Linked DNA regions of Neurospora crassa OR74A. The protein of the gene in region 2 interacts with the protein of the main gene of each other region in a biochemical or structural test. Links are inferred from orthologs where the notes say so. Each region holds a gene or a part of one and is shown on either strand. Other genes may lie near its edges. The genes, in order: NCU09317, NCU01793, NCU07839 and NCU09076.

The links.
Region 1: the proteins of NCU01793 (region 2) and NCU09317 form a complex in vitro, tested with the Saccharomyces cerevisiae proteins (3 studies listed by BioGRID). The link is inferred for Neurospora crassa OR74A from reciprocal best matches to the Saccharomyces cerevisiae genes YRA1 and MEX67.
Region 3: the proteins of NCU01793 (region 2) and NCU07839 form a complex in vitro, tested with the Saccharomyces cerevisiae proteins (2 studies listed by BioGRID). The link is inferred for Neurospora crassa OR74A from reciprocal best matches to the Saccharomyces cerevisiae genes YRA1 and DBP2.
Region 4: the proteins of NCU01793 (region 2) and NCU09076 form a complex in vitro, tested with the Saccharomyces cerevisiae proteins (4 studies listed by BioGRID, with this or other methods). The link is inferred for Neurospora crassa OR74A from reciprocal best matches to the Saccharomyces cerevisiae genes YRA1 and SUB2.

The regions. Positions count from the first base shown.
Region 1 is NC_026501.1:4,263,318-4,270,586, reverse strand, and holds NCU09317 (hypothetical protein), read right to left. Parts: upstream 4,514-7,269; 5' UTR 3,987-4,513; intron 3,911-3,986; 5' UTR 3,780-3,910; coding exon 3,342-3,779; intron 3,260-3,341; coding exon 1,739-3,259; 3' UTR 1,354-1,738; downstream 1-1,353. Other genes in the region: NCU09318 (ATP-dependent DNA helicase mph-1), read left to right, coding at 5,002-7,269. UniProt on the Saccharomyces cerevisiae protein: Involved in the export of mRNA from the nucleus to the cytoplasm.
Region 2 is NC_026502.1:2,391,125-2,398,625, reverse strand, and holds NCU01793 (RNA binding domain-containing protein), read right to left. Parts: upstream 4,584-7,501; 5' UTR 4,099-4,583; coding exon 3,868-4,098; intron 3,807-3,867; coding exon 3,777-3,806; intron 2,940-3,776; coding exon 2,775-2,939; intron 2,716-2,774; coding exon 2,392-2,715; 3' UTR 1,540-2,391; coding exon of another isoform or gene 1,173-1,539; 3' UTR 1,052-1,172; downstream 1-1,051. Other genes in the region: NCU16555 (uncharacterized protein), read left to right, coding at 1-168; NCU16554 (hypothetical protein), read left to right, coding at 791-855, 1,173-1,539; NCU01794 (hypothetical protein), read right to left, coding at 5,557-5,727; NCU01795 (zinc finger containing protein), read left to right, coding at 6,518-7,140, 7,197-7,501. UniProt on the Saccharomyces cerevisiae protein: RNA-binding RNA annealing protein. May have a role in pre-mRNA metabolism. Component the TREX complex, which operates in coupling transcription elongation to mRNA export.
Region 3 is NC_026503.1:1,034,018-1,041,307, reverse strand, and holds the start of NCU07839 (ATP-dependent RNA helicase dbp-2), read right to left. Parts: upstream 3,840-7,290; 5' UTR 3,136-3,839; coding exon 3,020-3,135; intron 2,882-3,019; coding exon 1,662-2,881; intron 1,142-1,661; coding exon 1,013-1,141; intron 950-1,012; coding exon 800-949; intron 743-799; coding exon 669-742; 3' UTR 1-668. Other genes in the region: NCU07838 (hypothetical protein), read right to left, coding at 4,169-4,220, 4,557-4,732; csb (DNA repair protein Rhp26/Rad26), read right to left, coding at 5,793-7,290. UniProt on the Saccharomyces cerevisiae protein: ATP-dependent RNA helicase involved nonsense-mediated mRNA decay and ribosome biogenesis through rRNA processing. Associates directly with chromatin, correlating with transcriptional activity.
Region 4 is NC_026501.1:766,402-773,858, forward strand, and holds NCU09076 (ATP-dependent RNA helicase), read right to left. Parts: upstream 3,972-7,457; 5' UTR 3,580-3,971; coding exon 3,354-3,579; intron 2,611-3,353; coding exon 2,200-2,610; intron 2,147-2,199; coding exon 1,786-2,146; intron 1,731-1,785; coding exon 1,473-1,730; intron 1,420-1,472; coding exon 1,371-1,419; 3' UTR 792-1,370; downstream 1-791. Other genes in the region: NCU09075 (hypothetical protein), read right to left, coding at 282-572; NCU09077 (Rpr2 domain-containing protein), read left to right, coding at 4,397-5,008, 5,101-5,292; NCU09078 (hypothetical protein), read right to left, coding at 5,782-5,908, 6,077-6,198, 6,528-6,749. UniProt on the Saccharomyces cerevisiae protein: ATP-binding RNA helicase component of the TREX complex involved in transcription elongation and required for the export of mRNA out of the nucleus. SUB2 also plays a role in pre-mRNA splicing and spliceosome assembly.

The DNA.
Region 1 (7,269 bases), on a different chromosome or scaffold from region 2:
TCCATCGAAAAGTGCGATAACAAAATTCAAGTTATTTGCATTCATCACATGGGGCAACACGGAGTGGGAATGGATGGGCGCCATCTCAAATTCCTCAGTTAGCGCGGTAATATGCCATCTTCCCACAGGCTTCTTGCGCGCAAATTTCTGAGTTGCCAGGGGAATGTGATAAGTAAACAACTCCATGTTTTCTCTCTGTTTTTGTGGAATCTGAGAATGGTGGCCAAGTGCTAAGGCGCTTCTGTTTCTACGCTGCCCAACTGCATCTTGGCCGATGCCTTCTCTTGTCCGTATACTTTCTAACTATCGCTATTTGAATTAGGATAAAGGAAGTCTCTGAGATTGTTCTCATCCACCTACCCAGCAGCAAACCTACACTACAACAAGCAAGACTGAGGTACAAAATCCCCACATGTATCTACTTGGTCACGTCTCTCGCAGTCACGCACACGCACACTTGTCACACACGTTTTTATATGTGCCGCATGTTGTGGGCGAGAATGCAATGCGAGACGAGGAATGGCGTCCTGGCGTACGGAAAGGATCAATAGAAACTCAACTTTCGCCGACCATTGGAATGCAGTGATGGGTTCTGGCTGGAGAAAACTACCTTACCTCACACTTACTCAACACAAGGCTTCAATTGAAGGATGACAAGTCGCAACTCCCGCGATTATATAAGTATTCACATCCGCTTGGTCGTCTTTCATCTAATCGATCACATACCTTTAGCCAGCATATGAAATGTCGATCACTCCCACTGATGATAGATAACCGATCACCTAACCGATCGCCGAAAAGCGAAAAGCGTAGAAAAAGCCAATCCTCAACGGAAAATTTATTCCTGGCTCTCACTCAGGTTCAAGTGTCGAACATGATTGTTTCCCCATCGTAAGTCGTAACAACCAAGATCAATACAAGTAAGCGCCCATACTACCCCTCATCCGATAAAACTCTTGCCGGCGCCCATTGGACGAGGCCAAACAGGTGATGATGACTGCTCATCGTACCAGGACCACTCAGCATTTTTCTCCCAAAGCCGCCCTATGAAAGATCGACAGATGCAGGTACCGATCCACTGCCGGGGTGGCAGTGGCCGCAGTGGAGCAGCGATTCAAGAAACGTCGCATGATGGGGAAACCAACAATCAGATGCTCACCACCAAACCCCAATCGCCAAGAATGGCGCGCGGCTTCGAGATCTTATTAGCTGTGTGATCTCGTACTTTATCACAACCGTGGTTACCAATTTCACGGTGGTTAAGCTACTGGGCCTGACCAGCATGAACGTTGTGTACCAATTACGCTCGAGCATCTTCCGTAAGCGTCCTCACCCAAATAGGAGAAAATATTAATAAAAGAGATTATAATTAGATGAAAAAAAACCGTGAATGTGGGAGACTCTTTGGTCAAAGCCCAAAAGAGCTCCAGGTATCTCAATTGTTAACGCACGCTAAGTTTCCGCAATATCAAGTCGAGTGACCGCCTTATAAGAATTCCGCTAACCGACCCATTCCGTTGCTCCCTTGAGATAGTATGGCAATGCAAGTATTGTACAAAGTTCATCCTTGACCCTTAAACCCTTTCCTCTTTCCCAGTCTTCGTTCCTTGGCTTTCAGTAGTTTTTGTCTTCCTTTTCCTTTGTCTCCAACTCATCCAGGCAGAGGGTATTTACCCAACTAGCGCTGATCCACCATGAACTAACAAACCATGCTGACGCTGGTGACCTGCGCTGTCCCCTAGACAGCGTTGATAAAGGCCGTGGGCGGCAAGTTCGCCCTCTGCTCCTCGAATGACTTGAGTGCCAGCTCAAAGTTCCAGTTGGCAGTGCCACTGAGACACAACTCTGAGTATTCTGCTGTCATGCCAGTCCGCTTCATCACCTCCTGAATCAGCTGGTTCTTCGTGGCATCATCCAACATGACAGGTTCTGCTGGAGGCACAGCGTTGGTAACCGGAACCTGCGGGACCTGGTTGGCGACAGGGGCCTGACCAGCAGGTGTCTCCGCGGGTGTCCAGTCATGAAGGGTGAGTTGATCGCTAATAACCCGGTATGGGTGCACCGGCGGCGGGTTGCTCGGCTTGCTGGGTCCAAGAATGAACGTGCGCGTGAAGGTGCGCTTTCCGTAGAGGTTTTCTGTAGTATCGGACTCTTCAAACTGGCCATTGACGGTGATGAGCAATCCCGTAGCGAAGCCGTGGCCGGTGGGGTCCGCGAGGTTGGGGAAGGTGTGGCAGTCGATGAGCCAGGCACCAGGGTTCTCCATGCTTGGATGGCGAGTACTGGGGAGAGCCTTCCACATGTCCGCAATGAGATTTCCTCCGGTGAAGAGACGTTGTACCGTTGCTGGATTCTTCTCTCCCAATTTGTGAACGTTGCGGGAGTATTTGAGGTAAGTTTTCCAAGGAAGATTACGACCAGAATTGGCAATGGCTTGAATCGAAAACCACGAGTCGTCGTCGTAGAACTCAGCGGCGAGGCGAGCTCTGTCGCTGTCGAACATGGGGAAGAAAACTTGGACAAAGATGCTCGCCACATTGGCCTCCCCGTCCCGTAGGTTGGAGGGGAACTGCGGTAGTGGCGTGGGGTGCATGCCCTTGAGGGCCTCAGTAACCTCTTGTGGGCTGCGAACAATTTGTCCGTTGATGTTCTGTAGCGATGGGAACCATTTGATGAGTTCTGCCACGAAGTCGGGCTGGGTGGTGATGGGGTTGCCTGTGAGATGAAGCTCTTCGAGGTACTGAAAGCGGTGCTGCCACTTGGAGATCTTGGACAGACTGTCGAGGTTGTTGCTGCTCAGGTCAAGTCTCTTGATATCTGGAAGTGACGTAGCAAGCGTGAAAACCTGCATGACGTCGTTAAGGCCGTTGCTAGCAAGGGAAATGGCCTGTATCCCTTCACGCTTTTCGGCAGCGGTCTTGTACTGCTGACTAGCAATAACTACCAAGACCTTGAAGGCCTTTTCGGCCCGATCCTTGGAATCAAACGTGCCCATGCTGCTGAGGATGGGATCGGTTCCAAGAGAAGATAAGTCAAGCAGCTTCAACTCTGGATTGTAGCGCGCAGCTAGCACTGCTGTCAATTTTTGTTTGGTCTCCTCAGCAGCCTTGGAAATCTTGTCTTCGGGGCGAGGCATCCTCTCGGTGGTTTCCGTAATCGTCAGGGGTGCACCGGCATAGGTGAAGCCATTGAGCCTCAAGATCTCCGGGGCGTCATCTTTTCTGACCGTGATCCACACATAATCGCCGTCCATTATACTCTATCGATGGGTTAGAAGGTGTCGGTTATCGCAGTTGCAGAATATTGCGCGCTTGGGGATGTCGGTGGATGGGAAAGTATACCTTGCCGATTGTAACTGCTTTGTCTTTGGAAGCCTTTCGTTCCAGAAAGGTGAGAAGTGACCGAAGCCCTCCATCGCGATTGCCGGTAGCTTTGCTATTGCTCATACCGTGAATCTTCAGTGTGGCCATATTGGACTGTGTTTTGCCGACGGGACCTCCGCTGACGTAGTTCTGTAGGTTCTGCACGACCCGGGATGCTGTCCGGGAGTTCACCGCACCTCTTCCACCTCGAGCATCTTTGGAGCCACGTCCTCGACCACCGGAAGCCAACCCACCCCTACCAGAGCCACCAGCCGGAGCATCCATTGACACATCTCCATCTCGGTCCGTCCTCGGGTTTGCGCGACGCTTCTGGATTCCGCCACCGCCGCCTGTTGCTCGGGGTCCACGAGGAGGAGCCCTTCCAGTTCCGGCGCGAGGACCAGTAGGAGGTGCCATGGTTGTTCGTTGAATTCTGAAGAGAAAACGTTCGGTGTGAGTTGCGGGTGATTTTTTTTTCTCGCCGAGTTGTTGATGAAAGGACAGTGAGTCGTGGAGTTGCGAGTTGTCCTTGTTCGCCGACTTCTTCGCTGCCCCGATGGTCAAAGTTCCGGTCGTGGTCGGGGGAACTGGGGAAGGGTACTAAGATGCAGAGTCGAGGCTTACCTTTGGTGTCGCCGTTAGGCGGGAGAGCGGCCTGCTCAAGAAAAACAGGCGGCCGATGCCGACCGGGGATTGATCACCGCTGGGTGGATTTGGGACGCTGTATTTGAGAGTGGCCCAGATAGGTGTCAAAGGACACTTCGCTTAGAGTCTAGGTGCGCTTCTCTAAAGGGATTTGTCGAGGTAAAGAAAGATGTAAAAGATGCTTGGAGGTGGGGCGACAAAGACGACGCGGAGATCCAAAGGTACGGAAGTAGAAGTAGAAGGCCGCCGCTTCGCTCGTGATCGTTGGTTGAATATGCGTACGGAAGCTGCTAGCTCTGAAGCAACGGGCGAGTACGAGGATGCGCAAGAGTCATCAGCCGGTCAGTACTGAAGAGTTTGTTGGGCTGCCGATGCCAACTGACGACGCGAGAAGGTCGAGAAATGAGGAAGGTTTCGATGACGGATTGGAGAATGGAAGAAAGAAGGTTCAGCCTGCCGGACCTCCAAAAAGGAAATACCTTAGCGGCGGCAGTGGAGGAGCATGCAACTTGAACTCAAGGCAATGAGCCAAGCTCCGACCAGTGCGCCAGGCTCCAGCGGACCACAGAGACAAGCGATCGGATTTTGACGCAAACCTGCCCCACCCAAGATGCAACAGCCCCACTCTGACGCTGTTCTGCTGCGAACTCCCCAGGCGGCAGCACCCAGACTGCCCACACCAATTCACGTGCTATGGCGATGGAACGTGTCAAGGGAATAGCCCGTCCATTAAAACAGCGACGCGTCTCATATCAGGCCGGGCTTGTGTGACGATAGGGTCGGTTCACCTATGCAAACGGACTGTTATGAATGTCAATTGTTTCACTTCCAAGAATTTCATCCGACAAGCCTTAAGTTTCATCACCAGAACAAGAAGTTTAAAAAAAAAAGGCAAGAAAACAAAGTCCGGTTGTATTAACTGCCCAAGCATCGGCGCATCGAATCTCGAATCGTCAAGGTTCTTTCTTTTCTACAACCTCACAACTCTCAAGTCATGGATGACGATGACTTTGACGATATTCCTGATGAGGATTTGATGTTGGCCTTCACCCAGGCCACCGGCAACATCACATCACATCACCCCAGCAACAGCAAGCAGCTTGCCTCGTCGGCAAAACCACCAGCACAAGCGTGGCCAATATCCGATTCTGCAAGACGAATCGTTACTCCAACCGTATCGCAGGGTCAGGCTACAGCTACAGGGCGTGCCAAAACAGCAAGCAAGCCGACCACGTCAGCGACAACGTCTCGCCCGTCCCTAGCTCAGTCCAGCCAGCGTAAGAATCTGCGTCAGACGACACTATGGGGTGGCACGCTGGAGGAGGATGCGCAACCCGCCCCGCAAGCGGTGTCGAATCGACCATTCCGTGCCGATATGCCCCCAGAGCAGCCCACTCACCATGAGATTGACATAGAAGAAATGAAAACATGGGTTTATCCGATGAATCTGGGACCTATTCGAGACTACCAGTTCAGCATTGTCAAAAATGGCCTCTTCAACAACACATTGGTCGCCCTCCCCACGGGTTTGGGAAAGACATTTATTGCTGCGACAATCATGCTAAACTACATCCGCTGGACAAAAACCGCAAAGGCTGTCTTTGTTGCTCCTACGAAACCCCTTGCTTCACAACAAGTTCAAGCATGTCTCAGCATAGCGGGCATCCCGCGATCTCAGGCGACTCTCCTAACCGGAGAGACTCCTCCTGTTCTACGTGAGGACGAATGGGCAACAAAGCGCCTGTTCTTCATGACACCCCAAACACTAATGAATGACCTTTCCAAGGGCTATGCCGATCCCAAGTCCATCGTACTGCTGGTTATTGACGAGGCGCATCGTGCGACTGGAGACTATGCATACGTCAAGGTGGTCGAATTTTTAAGGCGTTTCTCCAAGAGCTTTCGAATTCTTGCTCTGACTGCTACACCAGGATCGTCTCTCGAAGGTGTTCAGGACGTCATTGATAATCTGGGCATTTCTCACGTCGAGATCAGAACCGAAGAGTCAATCGACATTCGTCAATATGTGCACTCAAGAGACATCAACACGATAACATTCGACCCCTCTGACGAAATGATGGAAGTCAGAGACTTGTTCTCCAAGGCCCTGAAGCCCCTTGTGACCAAGCTGAGTTCACAAAATATATACTACGGCAGGGACCCCATGAGCCTGACTACCTACGGCCTGATGAAAGCCAGGAATGACTGGATGGCAGGTCCGGGTAGGCACGTAAACCAAGGAACCAAATTCAGTGTCATAGCCACATTTGCGATTCTCCAGAGTTTGGCGCATTCCATCAAACTACTCAACTTCCATGGAATCAAACCGTTCTACAATAATCTGGCCGAATTCCGCACCACCGAGGAGGAGAAAGGAGGAAAAGGGTCAAAGCTCAAGCGGCAAGTCTTGGAGGATGAGAACTTTCAGAAGATGATGGACATGATTGAGGGTTGGATGAAGATTGATGGGTTCCTCGGACACCCCAAGCTGGAATATCTTTGTGAGACCCTGGTCAACCACTTCATGGATGCTGGCGAGGGCTCCAATACCAGAGCCATTGTATTCAGTGAATACCGAGACAGTGCCGAAGAGATTGTGCGCATTCTCAACAAGCAACCCCTTATCAAGGCCACAGTCTTCGTTGGACAAGCGGACTCGAAGAGGAGTGAGGGCATGAAACAGAAACAACAAATTGAGACGATCGAGAAGTTCAAGAACGGCGCTCACAACGTTCTGGTCGCAACATCCATTGGCGAGGAGGGTCTTGATATTGGCCAAGTGGATCTCATTGTCTGCTACGATGCATCAGCGTCACCGATCCGAATGCTTCAGCGTATGGGTCGTACCGGCCGCAAGAGAGCGGGTAACATTGTACTTTTGTTGATGAAAGGGAAAGAGGAAGACAAATTCAACGAGGCGAAGGACAACTACGCGACCATGCAGAGAATGATATGCGAGGGCAGCCGCTTTACCTTTCGTCACGACCTTTCTTCACGTATTGTGCCACGAGACATACGACCTGAGGTGGAAAAGAAGGTTGTGGAGATTCCACTTGAGAACTCCCAAAATCCAGAGCTCCCAGAACCAAAAAGATCTGCCGCAAGAATGAGGACAAAGCCGGCAAAGAAGAAGTTCAACATGCCTGACGGTGTTGAAACAGGGTTCATCAAGGCTTCTTTCTTTGGTCAAGCTGGAGCTAAGACAGCCAAACCACCCGCTAGGCCACCTGCGCCTAAGGAAACTGACTTTATTGCCGAACGG
Region 2 (7,501 bases):
ATCAATACCACCTCCAGCGCGGCCAGCAGCCGCTCTTCCTCCTCCCCATCGTCACCTTCATCAGCATCGGCTTCCTATACAGCTGGAGAGGCCGCGAGGGATGCACAGATGGGAGCATCTATCTTGGCTTGGCCGGCTGATGAGGAGTGGATTGCTCCAAAAATCTGAGAGCGTATGTGGGAGGTAGAATTGGTTGGCCAGAGGGGGATATCGTACATGTCGGAGACAGGGCGTTTTGGTCATTTTTAGGACGACGGTGCTCGTGGAAAGTTAAACGGACATAGGAACGGAAGTGGGGAGGGGATTACACAGTTATAGGGGAAATGTGACATAACGGAGCTTACTTGGGAATGGCAAATATTGATTATGTGCTTGACAGTGCCTGCTAGACAGGTTACCAGTCACCATTATCACGACTTTCGACAGAGGATGCTTTGGTATCAGCTCAACAGATGGTCATAAGCATACTTAGTTGCATGTAATGGAGCTTGTCAAGCCAATAACACCAAGTGGTTAATTCATTTCATGTAGCAAGAGCTTCGCAAACCTTCCCAGAGCGGATAGAGTTGAACTGGTTCTGATGGCTCTCGTGACAGGTAGGTCATGTGGAATTGGGGGGGGGGGGGTCATTGCAGTAAGAGAAGAAAAAGAACAAAATAGATGGGAATACGGTTTATACCCAGCCAACACGTTTCCATCTCTACACTACGACGTGTTATTACCCCAATAATAATCGGTGGCCAAGTACGAACGAACGACAAACCCTCAGAGAACTTCCTCAACCTACATCATGGACCTCGACCAACACATACACCATCCATCCCTACGCAGGAACCCTCGAGTGGCGAGTGACCTGTATGTACCAGCCCGTCTGGACCCTCTTGGTCAACACCGCTCTGCAATCTCAGAATAAAGATGACGGGCATTAGAAGTAATTCAAGACTACCAAGCCAAGGCAGTATTGTACTTGACACCTTAACCCTATTCACGAACGGACTCGCACAAGTCACCCACCCTTGGCGATTCCACCAAGAATGAACCGGCTATTTTACTGAGAGAGACAATAGCATCCACTGAATACTCGCAAGTCTTGCTGCAAAACATTACAGGTATTACTACAAACATTTGTATCCATCCTTGCGCTCTTGTCAAAACTTCCGCCCTTCATTTAGGGAGTATTTGAGCAACAATTCTAGGAAACCAATTTACAGCCCATGCGCATTTACTTCCACCGCCTCTTACGTCTCTGAGACCACCACCACCACCACCACTACCCTCCAGCACACCAACCAATTACAAACTAAGATGTGTACCAAACACTTTGTCGACTCCTACTGCACCTCGTGTGACGAGCTCGTGCAAGGCCGATCGACAGAAAGCCCTTGCAAACCAAAATACAGAGGAGAGCATTTGGGACACTGCGCGGCAGGCATCGAAAGCAAGACTGTTACCGAAGCCGTGGTGTGCAAGAACTGCGAGAGGAAGCTGAGGAAGATGGAGAAGAAGAAGAAGGATAAGGGAAAGGAGAAGGACAAATAGCAGAAGTGTGGTTGTAGTTCTACTGCCGTGTGTGAATGAGGAGGAACTACGGCTTGCTGAATCGCGGAGGAATGGCAGGAAAGGGTGCCCTCTTATCAGCACGTGAAGCACTGTTTACGTTCGTGGCAGAATTCGGGGCATTATGACATTAACTTCCGCCTTTTTCTTGCCCGGAAGCGCTCGAGGGTCCTCGATCCACGCTGATCTAGCTGCTTGAGCTTTCTCTTCTGGTCTTGGGATGCACAATTTACCCTCCGCAGGTGTAGCTCTCTGTAAAGTACAGAAAGGCAACGCCCTGCGCATGCTAGATTTGGTCGTGACTTGCGATGTGAAAAGGACCACTGTGGATATTGCTCCCGCTTCGCTGACATATATGTCCGTTGCGCTCCAACAATTTAGTAGCAGAGGCGAGCTATTTGTTCGAAATTATATTCATCGCCTTGGGGTACTGGGAGGGGAAGACGCTTAACAGGCGACCAAAGGATAAGTGACAAAGTGCTGATAACAACACCAAATTGTGACCCTTGGCCCTTTGGCAGACGTGTCCTGCCGCAATCCATCTTCCATCAGAGGGACCGTAAACGACAGGAGCGAGATGGTAGGTCGCGGCGAACCAGTCGCAGGTCATACAGCATTCGCTAATAGAATAATAGTGGAGAGGCGATAATTGAAGGTCGTCGTGAGTCTGGAGAAAATTTCATCAAGCTGTTGACCTAAGCTGTAGACCCTGCCCGAACCCGAAATAAAATAGTAAAACAATCATAGACAATCCGAAATCCGTCAAACAAAGTTGTCGCTGAAGCTGGCATTCGCTCTCATCGACTGTTGCTGTTCCTCATGCATACCCTTCGTTCAAAGAATCTCGTCCTCCATGGGAGCATCACCACCGTTGGCAGCGGCCGGCGCGGCTCCGGTGGCGTTGTCCGTGGTGCCACTCTCGAAGTAGTCAGCCATCTCAGAATCCAACTCCTCGACGGTCTTCTTGGCAGGGCGGGCGCTGCGAGGGCGACGGGGACCCTTCTTGCTGCCAGGCTTAGCAGCAGCAGCACCCTTGGGGGCGTTGGCGGCATGCTTGACAGTGGCGGCAGACTTGGGCTGGGCCTTGGGCTGTGTGATACGCTGAGTCAGGCTCTTGGGCTGAGGGATCAACTCGGCATTGGAAACAACGACCTCGACCTAGGGGAACGTTAGAAAAGCCAGAACCAGAAGATTCATACAATGGAGAATGAGCGTACCTTGACCGGGCGGTTGTCAATCAGGAGACCGTTGAGAGTGTTGTACGCCTTGGTAGCACCATCGGCGTGGTGGAAGGTAATATGAGCAATACCGCGGCTAGTGCCTCCGGGCCCATACGAAAGTTCCACCCTCTTGACCTGTCCAATAGCTTGCTGGAAGTATTCCTATCACAGGGTAATTCGTGGTTAGCGTCGTGCGCCAGTTTCAGTGTGGTCGTGTTCGTAACGGTTCGGTTTCAAATCGGTCAAAGCTAGGGCATTATCTCGAGCCGGCCCAAAACCAGGATATAGCCAGAGCAGCGCGCGTAATCTCCAGGTCAGCAACACCAGCAACTGGCAGGTGAGCCGAAAATCCAACACTCACTAGAGCCATCCATACGATCCGATGCGTCTGGGCCCACAGCCCGTAAAGCAGTAGGACGTGTGAAGGGATCCAGTTATGCCAGACAATCCAAGCATGGTCCAGTTGATGTGATGCCGTCCTCTCGTAGAATTCCCGAACAACCACGATGCTAGACCCCGGTTCCCCGGAGTTGTAAATCCCCTGATGGACCAAAACCCCCCAGAAATCGTCCAACCAGGACATGAGAAACAGAGCCTCGAACATCGCTCACTGCGTGGCGCGCTGGGGTGCAAAGATCGACTTCAAGGTGACCAGCCAGGAAGAGATGATGCATGACCCCCCAGCTAGGCTCCCATACAAGATTTGTCTGCCGGATCCTGCACTGCTTGTCCCTTTCCGAACCAGAGGCGCTTGCCAGCCACCACAATGATAAGGAGGGGAGAGCGTGACTGCGATCTGCTCAACTCGCAACATGACGAAATGTAATGACACACGTCAGGGAGGAGCAATCAACGGCAGTCTTGATGGCCTAGGGCCGATTTGCAATAAACGACCGTCCCGACCGCCCAGTGGAGAAAACGACGCCGATTGGATACGCCACGGAAGAGGGATGTCGATAAAAGTCCGAAGGCTAAATGGCCTCATCGGTAATAACATACCTTGATCTGGCCTTCGGAAACGTCCTTGGGCTGCGATGGGAGTTAGCGGTGAAGGATGCTACGCAGGAGAAAGCTGGAGGACGCGACTCACCAGGTTGCTCACGACAATCTTGCTCTCGCCGGTAAGACCAGCACTCTTTGCGGGCGCCGGCTTGGCAGCGTTGCGAGCGGGCTTTGTGTTCTTTTGGATACCGCCAGCGGGGGCAGCATTGGTGGGCTTACCGCCAGCCGAGCGGCGACCTCCACGGCCGCGGGCGTTGGACTTACCGCGGCGCTGAGTGGAGAGAATCTCGTCGAGAGACTGGTCGAGCTTTCCGGACATTATGGCGGTGGGTTGCTGGAAAGTGATTTAGAAGTGGTGAGAAAGACGAGACGCGTGGTCAAGGTGGCTTCAGAGATTAGGAAGCGCGGACGGGCTCAGATGCGCAGTAGAGCTGGCGAAGGTCGCGTTGGGCAGAAGAGTGATAGGGAGGTCAGGTTACGACTCGCTGGTAGCGCAAGGTCGCGTGAAGTCGAAGCGGAGCAAGGGTCGCGCTGCAACGGAAAAGGTGCAGCGACACTGTGATCTGATCGACTCGAATGGCAAGTGGAAATGGACGTGGTCAGGCTGACGAAGTTGGATGCAGTCCTGCGAGCAATGAAAAGAATATGGGTCTTGAGCGGATGGGCTGTATCGGTGATGGACTTTGGCTTTGGCGGTGATAGTAGGTTGTGTTGGGGAATAGGTGGTGTTGTTTGGGTGATAAAGTGGTGAATGGGCGAGAGAGGTGAACGAGGGGGGGGCGGAGGAGGGAGTAGAAACCGGTGTCCGCCCAGAATTTGAGGGAGAACCGACGGGGACCGGAGCCACCTCGCTGCGCTTTCGTCAAGGCTTGGCAGGCTGAGCAGGCTCCCGCCCATACACTACTAACTTGCGGCCACACGCGCCTGTCCTGAACAACATCCAACGTGACGGGATCCTTGCCGCACTGGCCACCCCACCGCTTTGGCTTCGCTCAGAAGGGGAAAGAACAGTCATGGCCAATCACAGCCTTGTGGCAATCGCTTTGGCTGATGGCACTCATTGGTACGCTAATCTCTTTGGGGCTAGACCCATCCCTCCTGACGCAGCTGGGCCGTTCTGTTATGGTACCGGTACCTGCGATGGCGGGACACATAGCCAACTCTCCGAGACGCGTCACCACTTTCAGGGACCCTTTGGAGCTGTGTGTCCTTGTTTATGGATGTTCTTATCCCACACACTCCAAGCTTCCACTTGCTTCTTCAGGGACGTTTGCAATTGAGCTCTTTCACAAGCGGAAACAAAGAACGACCCCTTTGCACATAACAAAAGAACAAACCATATTATTAGTCAGTCATGCTACCCAGAGCGCTTGGCACCCTTCTGCTACTTAACTGGTGACATGATACACCATGATCCGAACAAAAACTGAAATCCAGTGCAAGAGTCTGCTCCTATGCATTGGGTCAACCATGGGGTATCAACCGACTCTGACCCATTCAATCCTCCTCGGCCCGAAACCTCGTTACTTTCCTAATGCTATGTCCCTGTATTCCTTTTGTGATTCCGGGGTTCCCTTCCCTTGCATATCGGTTGCGCCCCAGACCAGCTCTGTCCTGCTCTGCCCTCAGTAGAAGAGAGTGTTCTGTAGGCCGTCTGTCTCCTGTCCTTCTCGGCCTCGCCCCAACCAGATGTCCCAAGGGCGGGACAAGCTGTATCGTGCCGTTTGTGAAATATAGTCTCTGTCTTCGTACCGTACAATTTTGCGGACGCTGTGTCCTATTTTGCCTTGGTCGGGGCCGATGCCACCTTTGTTGCCTTCTTCTCCTGGACAACATCGGTTTCGAGATCTTCGGCATTGGTTTCGAGGAAGTGGTGGAGAACAATAAGAACCATGGCCGCGCACCCGAGAACGATGGCGAGACGGTAAAGTTCGGCGTCAGAAATCATTGTGTCGTTGGCGTAGGAAAAGTCTGTGTTGGGTATTCGTTCGGTGCCGTAACTGGTAGCTGTAGACTTGTTGCGACTCGCAATGCTTGGAGGGGAGTTCAAGTGGGTCCAAAGGGCGCTGTTCTGCTGCTCAAAAAGCTGTCAATCAGACGGCTGGACAGAGACAAGAAAATGCCGTGCTCACTTTTTCTTGGTGATGCCAATCGCACTGGCTGTTCTGCGCCGGGAGGACCGCAAATTCGAAAGTGATGATGCCGATTGTCGGGTGTTATGGACAGCTTTCCACCTTGAGGGCCGCGACGCAGCATCGATGTATCGGTACATCTCCATCCGTTCATTTACAAGAGGATCCGATAGTCACGTGGACGGACCCAAGCTGAAGGAAGGACCTCTTCTTTCGTTAGGTATACCGGCTGCGCTGCCCGGACCAACGTCAGGGCTTCTGTGGGCGGACACCCCAGCGCTTTAAATCCCGGGCGGCGTCAGTGGGCCCATTCCACTTTGGTTAGAGTTGTTTCAACCCACCCACTTCGAATTGCCTCCAAGAAACTCTCCAGGAAGACTTGGTCGAGATCCCCGCCTTCGTCTGCAAATCTTTTGAAGGTCGCTGCGACAACACGCTCTATTTACAACCTACGCGCCGCCACCACCCCAGCTGCGACAGCGACTCGATATAACATACATACGTGATCCATTAACTTGCGCATCACGACACACACACACACACACACACACACACACACACACACAAACTCTACTCTCTGGTTCCCGATCGCGATATTTGCCCATCATGCCTCCCAAGAAGCAGGAACCGAAGGCCGCCGGCAAGAAGAAGGCTGTCGAAGACAAGACCTTCGGCATGAAGAACAAGAAGGGCTCTGCCGCCCAGAAGCAGATTGCCGCCCTGCAGGCCTCAATGAAGAACGGCGGAAACGCTGAGCAGAAACGCAAGGAAGCCGAGAAGGCGGCCCGTGAGCGCGAGAAGAAGGCGGCTGAGGATGCCAAGAGGGAGGCCGATCTGCTTCTCAACAAGCCCGCCCAGATCCAAAAGGTTCCCTTTGGTGTCGACCCCAAGACCGTTGTCTGCATTTTCTTCAAGAAGGGCAACTGCGAAAAGGGCAAGAAGTGCAAGTTTTCCCACGACCTGGAGCAAGAGCGCAAGGTCGAGAAGAGGAATCTGTACCAAGATACACGAGCAGAGGAGGACGACAAGAAGAAGCAAGAGACCTCGGCGGACTGGGACGAAGAAAAGCTGCGTTCCGTCGTCTTGTCGAAGAAGGGCAACCAGCGCACCACCACCGACAAGGTGTGCAAGTTCTTTATCGAAGCGATCGAGGAGGGCAAGTACGGTTGGTTCTGGATTTGCCCGAACGGAGGAGACAAGTGCATGTATAAGCATGCTCTGCCGCCTGGGTAAGTTGGGGGTTTGCACCATTAGCTTCTTCTCATAACTAACACCATCTCTGTAGGTTCGTTCTCAAGACCAAGGAGCAAAGGGCGGCTGAGAAGGCGCTGTTGGACAAGTCGCCTCTCAGGACCCTTACGCTCGAGGAGTTCCTCGAGTCCGAGAGGCACAAGCTCACCGGCACTCTCACCCCCGTAACACCCGAGAGTTTCGCCAAATGGAAGAAGGAGCGTCTCGACAAGAAGGCTGCCGAGGAGGCCGCAAGGAAGGCGAAGGAAGCGACCGGTCGTGCCTTGTTCGAAAGTGGCAACTGGAGAATGGAGGCCGATATCGATTCCGACGACGAGGGGGACGACGACGCCTGGAACT
Region 3 (7,290 bases), on a different chromosome or scaffold from region 2:
TTTCAAGCCGTGATGCTTTGAAAAGGATCCTCTTCCTATTGTACAACACAAAAAGCAGAGGATAGTACCTATCGACTGCTACCACAAGTCTGCGGTAAGATCATCACTAATCAACGAGGATGAGAGGCGAGAAGCCTGCGCCCGTCCTGTTAGGGAAGCAAGAGAGTTGAAATCTCTTGTTCACACCTCGACTGATAAGCCGTCGTCATAAGTCATATAATGCCTTGACGGAGCAATGGCATGACGAGATATGGTGAAGGGTATAAAACCCGGCCATCTTGACCTGGACAGTTTGATGATCTGCAAGTGCAGTTGTGGTGCAACATGACCTGTAGATGAGACTTTCCGAAAAAATGAAGGAAAATTTTGGAACCCCGGCTGACCTCAGTGAAAATAGTAACCCGCAAGCATGACAATAAGGGAATACGAGAAAAAAAGAACAAAGCCACACCCATACCACCTAGACGTCAAGGTGAAAACAGACACCAGTGAGCGTCTGAAAGCAATAAACCAACCTCTAGACCGTATCCTCTACTAAAACGCCGTGATCATGTTCGAGGTCGAAATTGTCGCTGTAATGGGCCATTCGTCGTGTGGAATGACCATGGCGACAATGGATTGGACCAGGAAGGTCAATTGATATGTGCTGATTCGCTTCAAGTGGTGCTTTACCACCGGCGGTTGTTAAGCGGAAGAGCATTAGCACCACCGACGGAGCCGCCGCCACCACCGCCGCCACGGCCTAATGAGGGTTATTAGGATTGGAACTGCCAAATTCACCTGCGTGAAAATGACTTACCACCGCGCCATCCACCGCCGCCACGGCCGCGATAGCCACCGAAGCGGCCACCTCCACCACCACTGTAGCGAGCCATCTCGGCAAGTCTAGGGTCAATCTGCTGCTTAGCTTCTTGAAGCACACCGACGAGCTCACGAGCCTGCTTGGAGTCTGTGGAGAGATAACATTAGAATTTCGTTCGGCTAAGGATGGGCAGATTCAGGTGACACTTACTGTCAGTGGTGAAGAAAGTAATGGCAGTACCCTTCGCACCGGCACGACCAGTTCGGCCGATACGATGGATGTAATCCTCGGAGTTGTTGGGGTAGTCATAGTTGAGCACGTGAGTAATGTTGCGCACATCTTTTTTTAAAGGACCGTGGTTAGCAATAGCAGGGTTTGGAATAACGACATTCCAGAACGGACGGAGAACACGAATATCTAGGTATGTTCTGTGATCCTCTGGTAGTACTTCTCTCCTTGGCAGGTGGGCTGTCCATTGCGAAAAATATGCCGGGTTGGGATCCAAGGTTCCAGAGATCCTTGGGCCATGCATGCAAATCCCCTTGGGAATCTTGGAGACAAGCTTGACGGGAATCAAGAAATGCCTACTCCTCGCTTGTACCACAACTGGGATAAAAAGGTACAATTGAAGAATCACGCGGGCGTAGCATAGTCCACTGTTTCTGCTACGTCACGAACCCAAGACTCCACTCAGATAGACCAAGTCGACACGAGGTCAGGCAAGTTCGCGCAATCAAGAGAGCCCCTAGACATAAGAGTAAAGCACAAGCACGTACGTATGCTGGAAGTCGCCTGAGATGGGGGAGAGAAGAAGGGGGGAGGGGTTTGGGCAGGGCGGAGGGGTAAGATGGATACATACCGATACCACGAGAAGCCACGTCGGTGGCAACCATGATAGGGCTCTTGCCAGTCTTGAACTGGTCCAAAACCCAGTCACGCTCGTTCTGTTGCTTGTCGCCGTGGATGGAAAGAGCGGGCCAGCCGTCCTGGCGGAGGAAGCGGGTGATGTCGTCGGCGACACGCTTGGTGCCGGTGAAGATGAGGATCTTGTTCTGGTTCTCGCGGCCCTCCATAATCTTCTCAAGATGCTTGATCATGCGATCACGCTTCTCGGACTCGGAAACAACCTCGACGATCTGGGTGATACGGTGGTTGGCAGCCAAATCCATGGAACCGATGTTGACCTGGATGAAGTCGGTCAAGAAGTCGGCGGCCAAGTTGCGGACCTCCTTGGGCCAGGTAGCAGACCACATGAGAGTCTGACGATCAGGGCGAATCTGGCCGATGATCTTGCGAATTTGGGGCTCGAAACCCATGTCCAACATGCGATCAGCCTCATCGAGGACAAGGTAGGTGACACGACGGAGGTTGGTCTTGCCAGACTCGAGCATATCGATCAAACGGCCGGGGGTGGCGATACAGACCTCGACTCCCCTGGAAAGATCGCGAATCTGGGGACCCTTGGGGACACCACCGTAGACGCAGGTGTTGCGAATGCGGGACGACTTGCCGAACTTGGAGATTTCTTGCTGAATCTGGACAGCCAACTCACGGGTAGGGGCGAGGATGAGGACGATAGGGCCATCGCCGGGAGCGAGGAGAGGCTGAGCGTTGATGTGAACGATGGCGGGAAGGCAGTAGGTGAGCGTCTTTCCGGAACCGGTCTCGGCAATACCGACGACATCGCGACCAGAAAGGGCCATGGGCCAGCCCTGCGACTGAATGGCAGTAGGAGCAGGGAAACCCTGAGCCTTGACCTCGTCCATAACGTAGCGAGGGAAACCAGCCTCGTCGAAGGTCTCGACAGGCTTGGGAACGTTGTTACCGAAGACGGCAATGGAGTGGTCTGCGCGGAACTTGTCGACCTCAGCAGGAGATCGGTTGGCGACGCTAGGATGCTCTTGGTAGAAGGACTTCTCGAACTTGGGAAGAGCGCTCATGTCCCAGTTCTGCTTCTGCAGACCAGCACCGAGAGCAGACATCCTATCACCGCCGCCACCACCACCGTAGCCGCCGCCTCCGTAGCCACCACCACCGCCGCCATATCCTCCGCCGCCGCCTCCGTAGCCATTCGAGCCACTGTTGAACCAGATGTTAGCAATTTGATCTTGAAATGCAAAGAGAGAGAGAGAGAGAGAGAGAGAGAGAGAGAGAGAGAGAGAGAGAGAGAGAGAGAGAGAGAGAGGAAATGAGCAGGTTCGCGCTAAAACATCATACCCGTGTGAGGAGTAGTTGTTAGAGTAGCCGCCGCCATTGCGATCGTACCCGTTAGAATATCCACCACCACCGCCACCGCGGCCACCGTAGCCGCCGCCGCCGTAAGATCCGGACATGTTTGCTGGTTGTTTAAGAAAAGGTTGAAAATTGAAGATCGGTTGTTATTGGGGTTGCTGAAGGGTAGACCGAAACGACGAGCAAACAAGGCCTAGAGGCGCAAGGGTATCGATTGTCGGGAAAAGAAGACGTCGGAAAAGACAGACGTCTAGAGACAAGAACCAAACGACACGCGTGAAGTGGTTACAAGTAAGCAGTCCGACTGGTTAAAGAAGGATCGCGGATGAAGAATCTTGCAGAATCGCAAGAAGTAGGCGGGAAGGGATATTGGAGATGGAGGGTGGGTGGAAGGAAGGAAGAAAAGGGCTGCTGCGAAGGGTGAAGTGCAAGTTTTTCTGGACGGAAGTCGAAACGAAAAAAACTCTGGGGGCACTGGACAAGGACCCGTCACGTAAGGTTAGTATGGGAAAAGAACCTGACCAAAGGGAGATGTCGATGGAGGATTGGTGGGTTCCGCTGTGCAGTGCTAGTGGATGTGAGATGCGGATCCTGTGCCAGACCCGACTCGCCTCCAAGCGGGAAGAAAAAGTCTTTCTTTTTGTTGGAGGCGGAAGGCGCAACGCGTCCCTTGCGTGCAAGTGCCCCAGAAAAATATTTTTTTTTTCTTCCCTTCCCTTCAGTTCACTGCAGTCGTTACAGCGAAGGCGGATTTGAGGGGACCGGGCATTGCCGTACCTGTCCCCCAGACTTCCATGTAGGGGCGGTCTGGCACCAGAGAAAAAAAAAACTGGACCCGACTGGCAACACTTGGCGGGCCTGCATTCTTTCACTGTTGACAAGCACAGATAAGCACAGATAAAGCGCCGATAAGGCATGTGTGGCCTTATCAATCAGGCAGAAGTCCACCTTTGCGGGAATTGGCGTCACCTGGTTCACCGACTCCGCTTTGCCAGAAGGGTTCTCGTTCTTGCTTCACTGGCGGATTATGCTTGGCAGTCTTTGCTGCGCGTCGCGGTTGTTGGGCAATCATCCGTCGTCGCTCACCTCAGCTGTCAGGGAACGGAAAAGAGAATCTGTAATCTTGACCACATTCTATAGGAGTTGCCTGTTCACATACATGTCCATGCTCGATGCTAGCATGTTTCTACACGTGTATACAGCCGTACTTAGGCCTCATATTGCCATCCATCTCCCACCTCATCTGAAGACTTTGGGAGCAGCAACTTCCAGTCCGTTCCGCAGCCGACCAGGATGTACACTACTGCGTACACAAAGAGTGGCAATAAATCCATCACCACCGCCTGGTCTAGTCCACCACCATCAGCCACATTCTCTCAACACAAACCACCACTTCCATGTCCTGAAACATTTTTCGATCACTACACTACTCACGACCTTCAAGCCCCTTCCCTGACTTGCCCTCTTGGTTTCTTTCGGACAACAGCAATCTCTCCGTCCCCTCCAAACTCCCAAAACTTACTCATCTTCTCCTCTCCGCCCCAACTCCTCCACCTCCTGATCCAAACGCTCCAGCACCAGCAGACTAAACGCTTTCTCTTTGCTCCTGCAATTCTTCAGGTCCTTTTCGAACTGCTCCATGCCCAAGTGAATGGTACGGTGTTGCTGGATTAAATCATGGTTCGCTGCTTCTTCCATGTCCTCCTTTGGCCCCCCCTGATACTCTTCTTCCGTTTCGCTTACGATGCTGATGCTGCTGCTGATAATGATGACGACGTTGACGATTATGGGCCTTGATGGCAGCTCTCAATTGAGGCATTTGCTTTGCTATAAGGAAACCATGCAAGTCTTTGATGGATTGGTGAGCTTTTAGGTAGCGAGTGACGGAGCCCGCATTCTATGGGTTGTCGCTCAGTCAGTGCTGCTGTGCCTTGACTACCGTTGTCACAGGTACAAGCTGTGTCGAGCGTATTCCACACCGAGCGACAGTGATTGTACTTCAATCTGATATCGAGGAATAGAGTGCAGGAAAGGATGAGCACAGACAAAGTAGTCCATTCGCTCGTCTAGTCGGTTGTACACTGTATAGTCTCCTGGTGAGAGCGGTGGTGGCGCCCGATCGGTTGCATTGCCGGCATTGGAAACTGCATCCGGAGTGACAACATTGCCGAGTCTCAGTCCGGCTCCGGCTCCAGTCTCTTGGGCTTGCACATCGCTGTCAGACGTGCTCGATATCATGTTCAAGTTGAGGTTTGTGCATTTGATAAAGGCAGCGAAAAGTCACTATTAATACTGGAGCGTGAAGAGCACCTTAAGTCTGTTGGTTACCAAATCTTTACAGCCATTTATTCACGCGATTGATTAAGCAGGCAAGACTGGACATGAATAAAGCCGACGCTTGGTTTTCGTTTTGTTTTGTTTTCTTTTTGTGTTTTCTTTCTTTTGTTTTTTTTTTTGGTTTTTTTTTTTTTGTTTTTTTAAAAAAAAAAAAAAAAAAAAGTTACATACGTTGGTATCATAAACGCAACGAAAAGGCGACGCGATAACCCATCCACTCTCTTCCAAGGAGGTGTAAGCTCCCAGACATACATACCCCAATAGTGTCCTCCATAATCTTTTCAGACCACCATCTAGATCTTGTACAAATCCATTGATGTAATTCAGGGTTCCAGTCCGTCTTGGCAATTTCGAGATCAAAACCGCCCTTATACCTCTGGCTGCCAATGTGAACGTTATCTGTGTATCGTCCGAAAGAACATCAATGATACTCCGGACGAACAGTCCAAATGCCCCGCATGCTCGACCCCTTCTTCTCCAACTTGGCCACCTTCTCCAGAGCAATTTTGAACATATCTGCCTGCCTCGCTCCCGTGCAATAGTGATTGAAGTGGTCGACGAGCGACTTCGATGGGACCCTGCCACCATGTCGTTTAATGAACGCCGGAATCATTCTTTCAAAGTCCTCTGCTTTCAGGTTCCTTTTATCAGACGGTGTTGCCGGTCTCGATGCTCTCGACGGACCTGCACCGCCTGCTGCACCGCGAACACCTACTGAGCTGAAACCTCCGCGTTCATGACGGGGCGCCGGACGACCAGCTTCGCCGTACTCGCCCGTCCAAGTGACCGTGCCGATGGGCACATTTCTGGCTTCCTCACCCGCACGGCGGAGAGCCAAGGCCGCTTGAGCAGCAACTCGATCCGCTTCTGCTTGGAGAATTCTGCGGTCTGCCTTAACCGTTGGCTTTTTGCCGTTCATGATCTCGTCGTGTTCAAGAGCGCTGTGAATAGAACGTGCAAAGATACCCTCCATCAAACGGTCCTCCTCGTTCGGTGCAGGGGCCGGTCCATCGTCGTTGAATGTTTCCAATCCTGCAACTCCTTCAAGATGACGGAGGTTGCTTGTCTCGTCCTCACTTGTGGATTCGTCCTTGACTTCCACTGGTTTGCTGGCTCCAGGGGCCCGGAGAACCGGCGTGTCGTTACCAGGCAAGACTATCTCCGTGGGTCCTGAAGGCAGGCGTTTGACTTCACTGCCCTTAAATAGCTCTGCTGTCTCGGTCTTCCCGTCTTCATACGAGCTTAGACTGAACAGGTCATGAAGGTCATTTAAGTTGAATGAGGTCTGCTGCTTCGGGTCCTTCAACACCTTGTTTGACAGGAACTGCTTGAAGATCTGGCGGTGGTAGATTTTTTCTTCGATGGTTCCAGCTGTCATAAGCCGGTAGATAGTGACTTCCTTCTTTTGTCCCAACCGCCATGCACGTTCTCTGGCCTGGACATCGGTTGATGGGTTCCAGTCTGGGTCAAAGATGATGACCCGGTTAGCTCCCGTCAGGTTGGTGCCAAGTCCGCCCACTTTGGTGGTTAAAAGGAAGAGATGTAAGTCCGGGTCATTGTTGAACTGGTCGACAAGCGTCTGCCGATCTTTGACGGGCGTCTTGCCATCCATACGTAGGTAGTTGATGCCATCCTGGCGCCTCACAAATGCCTCGATGATGTCCAGCATTTGAGTACCCTGGCAGAACAGCAGCGTTTTATGGCCTAGACGTTTCCACATGGGAAGTAATGACTTCACCACTGCCATTTTCCCCGACTTGCTGGTACTGCCCCACTTGTAAGAGGGATCATCTTTGAGCCGCGGATCAAGCAAATCGGGATGATTACATATTTTACGCAAGATATCAATACCGTAGAGGGACTGGCGCGTCCTGTTGAGAATAGCAGTCATGTCATCCGACTTGAGGAATAGCTCGTAC
Region 4 (7,457 bases), on a different chromosome or scaffold from region 2:
CAGGACTGACGAGGAAGCCATTCCCAAGGCGACTTACTGTATGGGAGCCTGGTTGGTCACGAGAAGAACCCAAGTCCCCCAGGTCTTTGGCCAGTCTTCTCTTTCGCAGAATCAAGAACTTTCCCATATGTTTGGGTCCCAGAAATCACTTTCAAATCATGATTCATTCAGCTCGCCGGTGCTCGGCCACGAGTGCCTTCCAAGATCAAGCAAATCATTGTGAGAGGAACTGAGTGATTGGTGCGAAGAAGTGGACTGCCTAATCCTATCTCAAACATCTTTCAAGCAAGAAAACTTGGTCGAGTAAGCATTTTCTCCAGGTCGCCCTCAGAGAGGTATCCATCCGTGTTTTCGACGATTCCCTTGGGTAAACGCAGGAATTGTTCGGCGGGCGAGAGAGCGGCGAAAGAGAGATCGAGCTTGTTGGCATAGGAAGGGTCGAGGGAATCGAAGGGGTACTTCTCGATGTAATCGGGAGAATAGAATTGGGCGGCAAAAGGTTTGACGCGGGCGTATTCCATTTTGCCCCAGAAGGAAGAGGGGTCTTCGTCGGAGTCGTCGATGGTTTTCATTGTTTTTGTGGGTGGGTGGGTGTGTTGATTGGAGTTATACTGTGTAGGGAGATGTTATTTTTGAGAGATGGACCACTGAATGAAAGAAAATGTATATGAGGGTGGGAGAAGGAGCTGGGAGAACCCCTTTTGTATAAGTCGCGGGAGAAGAAGTTTTGTTGTTGTCGTTGGCGGCATTGTTAATATTGAAATCACGCGCTTCCTATGGGACCACACTGACGCAAAAAACTCGTATTACCTCCAACTACGTATAATTCAGAACTGCAACTGTAAAATAATAAGCCTTGGCAGTTGTTGACAAGGTAACCGATGCGAGAATACGTGTTGATGACGCTGCGTGAGGCTGAATCGACCAAGCTGCCGCGCATCAAATCAGTCTACTTTTTTGTCTCTTGACCATGTCACACACTCACATCTCAATATCCAGATCTTCGAAGCTCTTCCCAAAAAGAACAGGCAGGCTCTTGTTTTGTCCCAGTTATCAGACCCAAGCTACAGTTATCATAACAACAAGCCGAAACGCTTCCGACCTTGTAACAAATAAGAGAACTCTAAGCTTTTCTCCTCTCGGGCCTTTCATAGCTCCGTACGTACGTCATCATTTCCCTTTCGTTTGTTTTTGTTGTGTTTTGGAACCAATCAAGCTTTCCACCAGTTCATGATCAAAGAAGAAACAGGAGAGATAAAGCAGAAAAAATATGGAGAGTTCAGCCTGAGACAAACTTTGTGACCGAGAGCCCTTGACACATTATCCATCCTCAAAGCACGCTACATACTGTCCTTTCTTTGATAAACCGTTTAGGAAGCCATGTAGGTGGAGGCATCGATACCTTCCTTGGGGAACTCACTGTAGCGGGGTTAGTATATGTTTGGTGGACGAAAAAGGTGTGGCGAACTTACGGAAGAGCAACCTCGAAGCGCTTCTCAATAGCCTTGAGGACCTCCTTGTCCTGGTCAGTGGTAACGAAGGAGATGGCAAGACCCTTGGTACCGAAACGACCAGCACGACCGACACGATGGAGGTAAGAGTCGGCATCGGCGGGGAGATCGTAGTTGATGGCGAGGTTGATGCGTTCGATATCGATACCACGACCAAAGACGTCAGTGGCGACGCAGATACGCTTGTTGAATTCCTTGAATTCCTTGTAACGACGGATACTACAAGGAGAGTCAGTAGGCGCCCACACAATGATGTCGGGACAGGTGTACGTACCGCTCCTCCTGGCTCACACCGGAGTGGACAGCGATCGAAGGGAAGTTACACTCGCGCAAAAGCTTGTCCAGCTCGGTAGCACGGAGAGTGCTCTTGACGAAGATGATGACCTGGTTGAACTGCAGCTCGTCGAGAAGCTCGTTGAGCTTGCGGTTCTTCTCGCGCTCCTCAAGAGGAATGTAGTATTGCTGAAGACCGTGAAGGGTCAATTTGGTGTCTTCGTCAACGTAGTGCTCGGTAGGGTTCTGCATGAACTTGCGGCAGATAGGCTTGATCTCGTCCGACAGGGTAGCGGAGAACATCATGACCTGCTTCTGCTGGGGAGTGGCGCGGAAAATCTCCTGAACGTCGCGGCGCATGTCTATTTGGGGGTTAGTGACCATCGGTCGGCTGTTGACTACAACGGGAACTTACCGATCTGGTCGAGCATCTTGTCGCACTCATCGAGAACGAACATGCGGACGCTTCCGAGACGGAGGTGCTTGTCGCGCACCAGGGCGTTGAGACGACCGGGAGTACCGACGATGATGTGGGGATGGGTCTCCTTGTTCTTGAGAACCTCGGCATCCTTCTGGATGGGAGTACCACCGTAGAAGACGCCGGTCTTGATGTCGGGCATGTACTTGCTGAAGCGGTTGTACTCGTTGCGGATCTGGAAAGCGAGCTCACGAGTGTGGCACATGACGAGGACAGAGCACTCGCCGGCGACGGGCTCAACTTGCTGAAGAGTGGTAAGGACGAAGACAGCCGTCTTACCGAGACCGGACTTGGCTTGGCAGATGATATCACCACCAAGCATGGCCTGGGGGATACATGTCTGCTGAACTGTATTCGAGGACCGGATTAGAATCGAGTTACGCAAGCTTTGAATTGGGTACGAAGAAGGACAGGGTGGTATCGAGAGCGAAGGGCCCGTCCATCGTCGCAGCAGCAAAAAGACTTTTTTTTCGTTTATCCGTTCCTCCCGTCGTAGGTGCGTGGTGCCGACATCATATTTGTTCCAAGCATGGATCGAGTGAAGAGACGCGTCTCGTGATGGTGTCACGCGCATTGTAACGGTTCCATGACATCACCAGTCATCAACGACTTAGTATAAAGCGGTCGACGACTCTTTCGAGACCGCAGGGGACAAAGTCTCCCTTGACCGGGGATCCCCCATTGAAGGGCCCAAGGGTGCTTAGCCCGAGGGTGAGCCTTTTGGGGTGATCGCTCTCCGCTCGCCATTGTGCCATTTCCACCTCGGCACCGTGATCGTAGTCGCGTGTACCGGGGTGCCAAGTTCCAGCAGCGCTCGAAGGCGCGAACAGCCTACGCTCGTTTCCGAGACGCAAAGCGTGAACAAAATGATGATGTAGGTCGTGGTGGTGGACGCTAACCGCCAAAGCACCACGTTTCCTCCCCGAGGCGTAATGACGGCAGCGCGCGTTTCGGTGCTCCTCTTCCGACGTGCCAAGTGCCCATGATGACGCAGTATAGTCTTTTGTATTTGCTTGCGATGATGGACGGAACCCGATGTTTGAGGCAGGAGGTGTAACGATAAGCTGGGGGTAAAATTTGTCAGGACTAACCCTCCGAGGGATGCTCGAAGCCGCAATCGGCAATGGCGCGAAGAAGTTCGGGCTTCAGCAGAAAGTCGCGGAAGCCAGTCGAGTGGATGCCGACATAGGAGCCCTTCTTGGTGTCGACAGTCTGGCCGGCGGGGACAGCCTCGGCCTTCTTGCCGTTGGTGGGAGCGGCGGAGTCGTTGTTGAGCTCGTCGTCAGAGTAGTCGATGAGATCTTCCTCGGCGGACATGTTGGCGGTTGTGGTGTTGGTGGTGGTAGTGGTGGGTGAGTGGTTGTGATTAATTAGTGAGAGAGCGTGTCAAGGCTGGAATGTGCGGCTGACGACGACTACGACGAAGGCGACAACAGAAAGCTGGGGAAGAGAAATCCGGTCAAGAGAAAGAAAGTGGAAGATTGCTGGAGTCGAATGAGGTTGCGCAGACCAGTCGAGGCAGAAGGCTACGTGATGCTGCGGAGAAGAAGTGGAGAGGAAAAGAGGCGACGCGCTGATGGAAGTTGGAAGATGTTGAAAAGTCGGAGGGTGCGACGGATCAACGAAAGGTTCCAAAATAAGCAGCAGGTTCAGGTTCCCGTCGCTGCTCCAGTCACGCACACGCACCCGGGGGGGGCGCTGCACCACCGGCCACCACCACCCCGTCGTGACTGTTGGCGTGACCTGGACGAGGCGCAGGCGTGGCCGCCCGCCTGTTGCAGTCCAAAGGCCCAAGGTTTGAGGAGAACGCCAGCTGGCAGTCCGCCTTGTTTCATGAGGCAACTGTGGCTGAGCACCCATGTTGGCATCATACCAGCTGCCCCTGCTCTGGCGGCTCCCGGTCCATGAGTGACGCACTGACCCTTCCGAACACCTTCAGTCACTCCCTTGCAGCGCCGCCCTCATCCACAGTGAATGCCAACTGCATGCCAGTCTTGGCACCAATTGCAAACGACAAAGAACAAACGCTCTTCCACAAACCGTGGATGGACAAAAGCAGCACTCAATAATATCAGCCAAAAAAATAATACCCCAACACAAGAACAATAGAAAACGAGACACAAGACTAGCAAAAATGGCCAAAGGCGGCGGTAAAAACAACGGCGGGGTCCAAAACAGGGCAATCTACTCCCGCGTCTCCTTCCTCCAGCAAGCCGCCGTTTTTCTATCCCGGCAGTCTCAGTCACAACACCAGCAACAACAACAACAACAACAACACCAATCACTCCCGTCTTCCACATCCTCAGCCTTGGCTCCCCTTGTTCCACCACCAACGTCACTAGAAGGCATGTCCCGTCGTCTAGCCACCGACCTCCGCTCCGTGTCCCTCAAGACCCGGATCCGTCTCAGTCCTGCCGTCAAGCGGACCATCTGCAAGTACTGCGACTCGGTTCTTATTGACGGGTCAACATGCACAACGGTCATTGAGAACAGGAGCAAGGGCGGGCGCAAGCCGTGGGCGGATGTCTTGGTAAGGAGGTGTCATGCGTGCAAGAAGGAGAGGAGGTATCCAATTGAGGCGAAGAGGACGAAGCGGAAGACGGAACGCGGGATAACGGGAGAAGACGCGGCTGGTGGGGATGCCATGGAAGTCGATGGCCCTCCTGTTGCCGGAAAGGGGAAGGGGCAGAAGCAACAGGGCCATAAGCAGAAGCAGAAACAGCCGCAGGGTCAGACGGAGGTGGAAGTACGGGAACAGAAAGGATGAATGAGATCGAGGCTGGACGGCGCTCAACATGAGAAGAGCGTCGGTCTCAACCTAGACTTACGCCCAAATAGCACGACAAGCATCATGCTCGAGTTGGTCAGCCAGATGTGTGGGAAAAGCGCCGACGAGGCTGCATGTCCCTCTTCATTGAACACGCCGAGGCCAGGAGAATAGTTGAAGAGCCTAGCCAAGGTGAGGATCTTGGTTACGTCGACTCGGGTCAGGTCCGAGGACATGGCCTGTCGGAGAAAGTCTGGTGGTAACATACCGATCGTAACCAGTTCCGGGACCTACCCCGAGGTCTCGCGAGTAGCAAGCCGTCTTCTACGGCGGGGTGGATTTTTACGATCCAGGGTCACGACAAGGGAGTGTATCCGCTTCAACATCTCCAGACTGGCTAGTAGCGAAGGACAACTGAGGACGTTCTAGCACCTACAAACCTTCTAGCCCGAATTGGAGGAAATCGCAAGAACACTGGTAGAAGCCGTGCTGCCGTGTTAGTCAGACGAACCAAATCAAAACCATATCAGGAAGCCGGCCCTTCACACATATCTACAACCTCCAGTGACTACTCTTTCATGAACATACATCATGGCATGGTATAATTCGTTGCTCTGTTACGCGTAACTCCGTATCCCGTATCATCGTGATTGCTTTGACCGCCTGTTCCTCCTTGCTCCCGCTTGTTCAAACTGAATGTTTCCATAGTTCACAACCCAACCGCAACCTCATCCCCATCTTCCACCACACCCTCACCTTTGCTGCCCACCCTGCCCACCTTGACCACCTTGACCACCACCCTGCTGCTGCTCAACCACCTGCTGAGCCTGCACACTCTGGACACTTTCTTCTCCTAGAACTTTACTCGCTGCCATGAACCTGTATTGTGTGTATCATCATCATCTCGAATCAGTAATTTCTCAAAACTCTTCCAGCTGGTGCAGTGATTTAAGGAAGAGGGAAGAGGGAAGGCAAAGAGAAGAAACACACAAACAAACGGGAAAAGAAGGAAAGAAAAAAAAGAAAGAAAAGAATAAGATGACTTACAATCCACCATGCCAACTCCCCAACCCCCTCATGCACTCTGCCTGCACGCTGGTCATGCGCAAGAGGTTCTCGGTGTCGGCGAGGTTATTGGATAGTTGCGTTAATTGAGCGTGGAGTTGGGACTAGTCAGTCAGTCGGGTTTTGTTAGCTTCTTATTTTCCTCCCTCCCTCCCTTCCTTCCTTCCTTCCTTCCTCTCTTTTTTCTTTCTTCTGGAAAGAAAATAAAAATGGAGAAACGTAGCATGTACAACCATATGATGGATCGAAATAGTCAGAGTGTACGATGACTACAATGTGTAAAAAGACAGGATACGTATAGACATCAGAGTGCAGTGCCACCTAAACACCACAAGCATCCCTTCTCCATCTTCAAGCAAAGGCCGAAAATCAACGAGACGAGACAAAAGAAAGATAAAAAAAAAAAAGAAAAAAAAAGAAAAAGAACACATACAATCTGCCTAGCCTTAACCGCCGCGCCATTCTGTCCAGAAGAAGAAGAAGAAGTCGACAACGAAGCGCCGGCGCCGGGGGCATGCATGGACTGTCGTCCTCCTCCTCCTCCGCCGTAGCCATTACCACCACCACCGTTACCACCACCACCACCGGCACCACCACCGTACCCGGCCCCGCTGCTGATCTGCGTGCCGAAAATGGTGTTGCGGTGGCTTGCCATTGCTAAAGATGTCTCTTTGAGTGGTGGGGTGGGTGGGTAGGGGTTTGTTCACTCAATCGCGTAGGTAGGTAGGTGTGAGAGAATTCCTGTGTCAGGGTAACCGGTTTACAATGGTATCAAGTGGTTAGACGGCTTGTTGGTGCAGTGCTTGCCGAGTGTCTTGTGAGTGTTTGGTTTTCTGGTTTTGTTATTGTTTGGGCGTTTGTTCCTTTCTTGGTGTGGAGGTTTGGGATTATTGTTGTCACCCAAGTCGGCACTGAGTTGCTAAGCACCTCAGCGGAGGCATGTGTAGGTTGGGGACCCGGGGGGGGGGGGGGGGGGGGAGTTAGTGCGTCGCTAAACAGTCGCTGGCTGTCACGGGGGAGACGTACAGCAGGCCGCTGTAGCGCGTCTTTCTTTAGGCTATAGTGAATACCTCTGGCGATTTGCCTGCTACGTCAGGCACCCTGTTATGTTGAATGCTGCTGTTTGCTGCGCACGTGCACTAGCAATTTGTGTGTCTCGACCAGTGCAAACCTCAAAACAACAACATCCATTTCCCATCGTCCTCCAGTCTTCCAGACTAGAGGTAAACAAGATCTGGGCGACAAGTCCCAGATAATCCGCTTCTAATATTCCGCTTTATCCAACTTTTACATTCCTCACACCTTTGAAAATTGGACGAGCCAGCCCTGCATTTACGAACTGCAACAGCGCAGGGACCCTCCC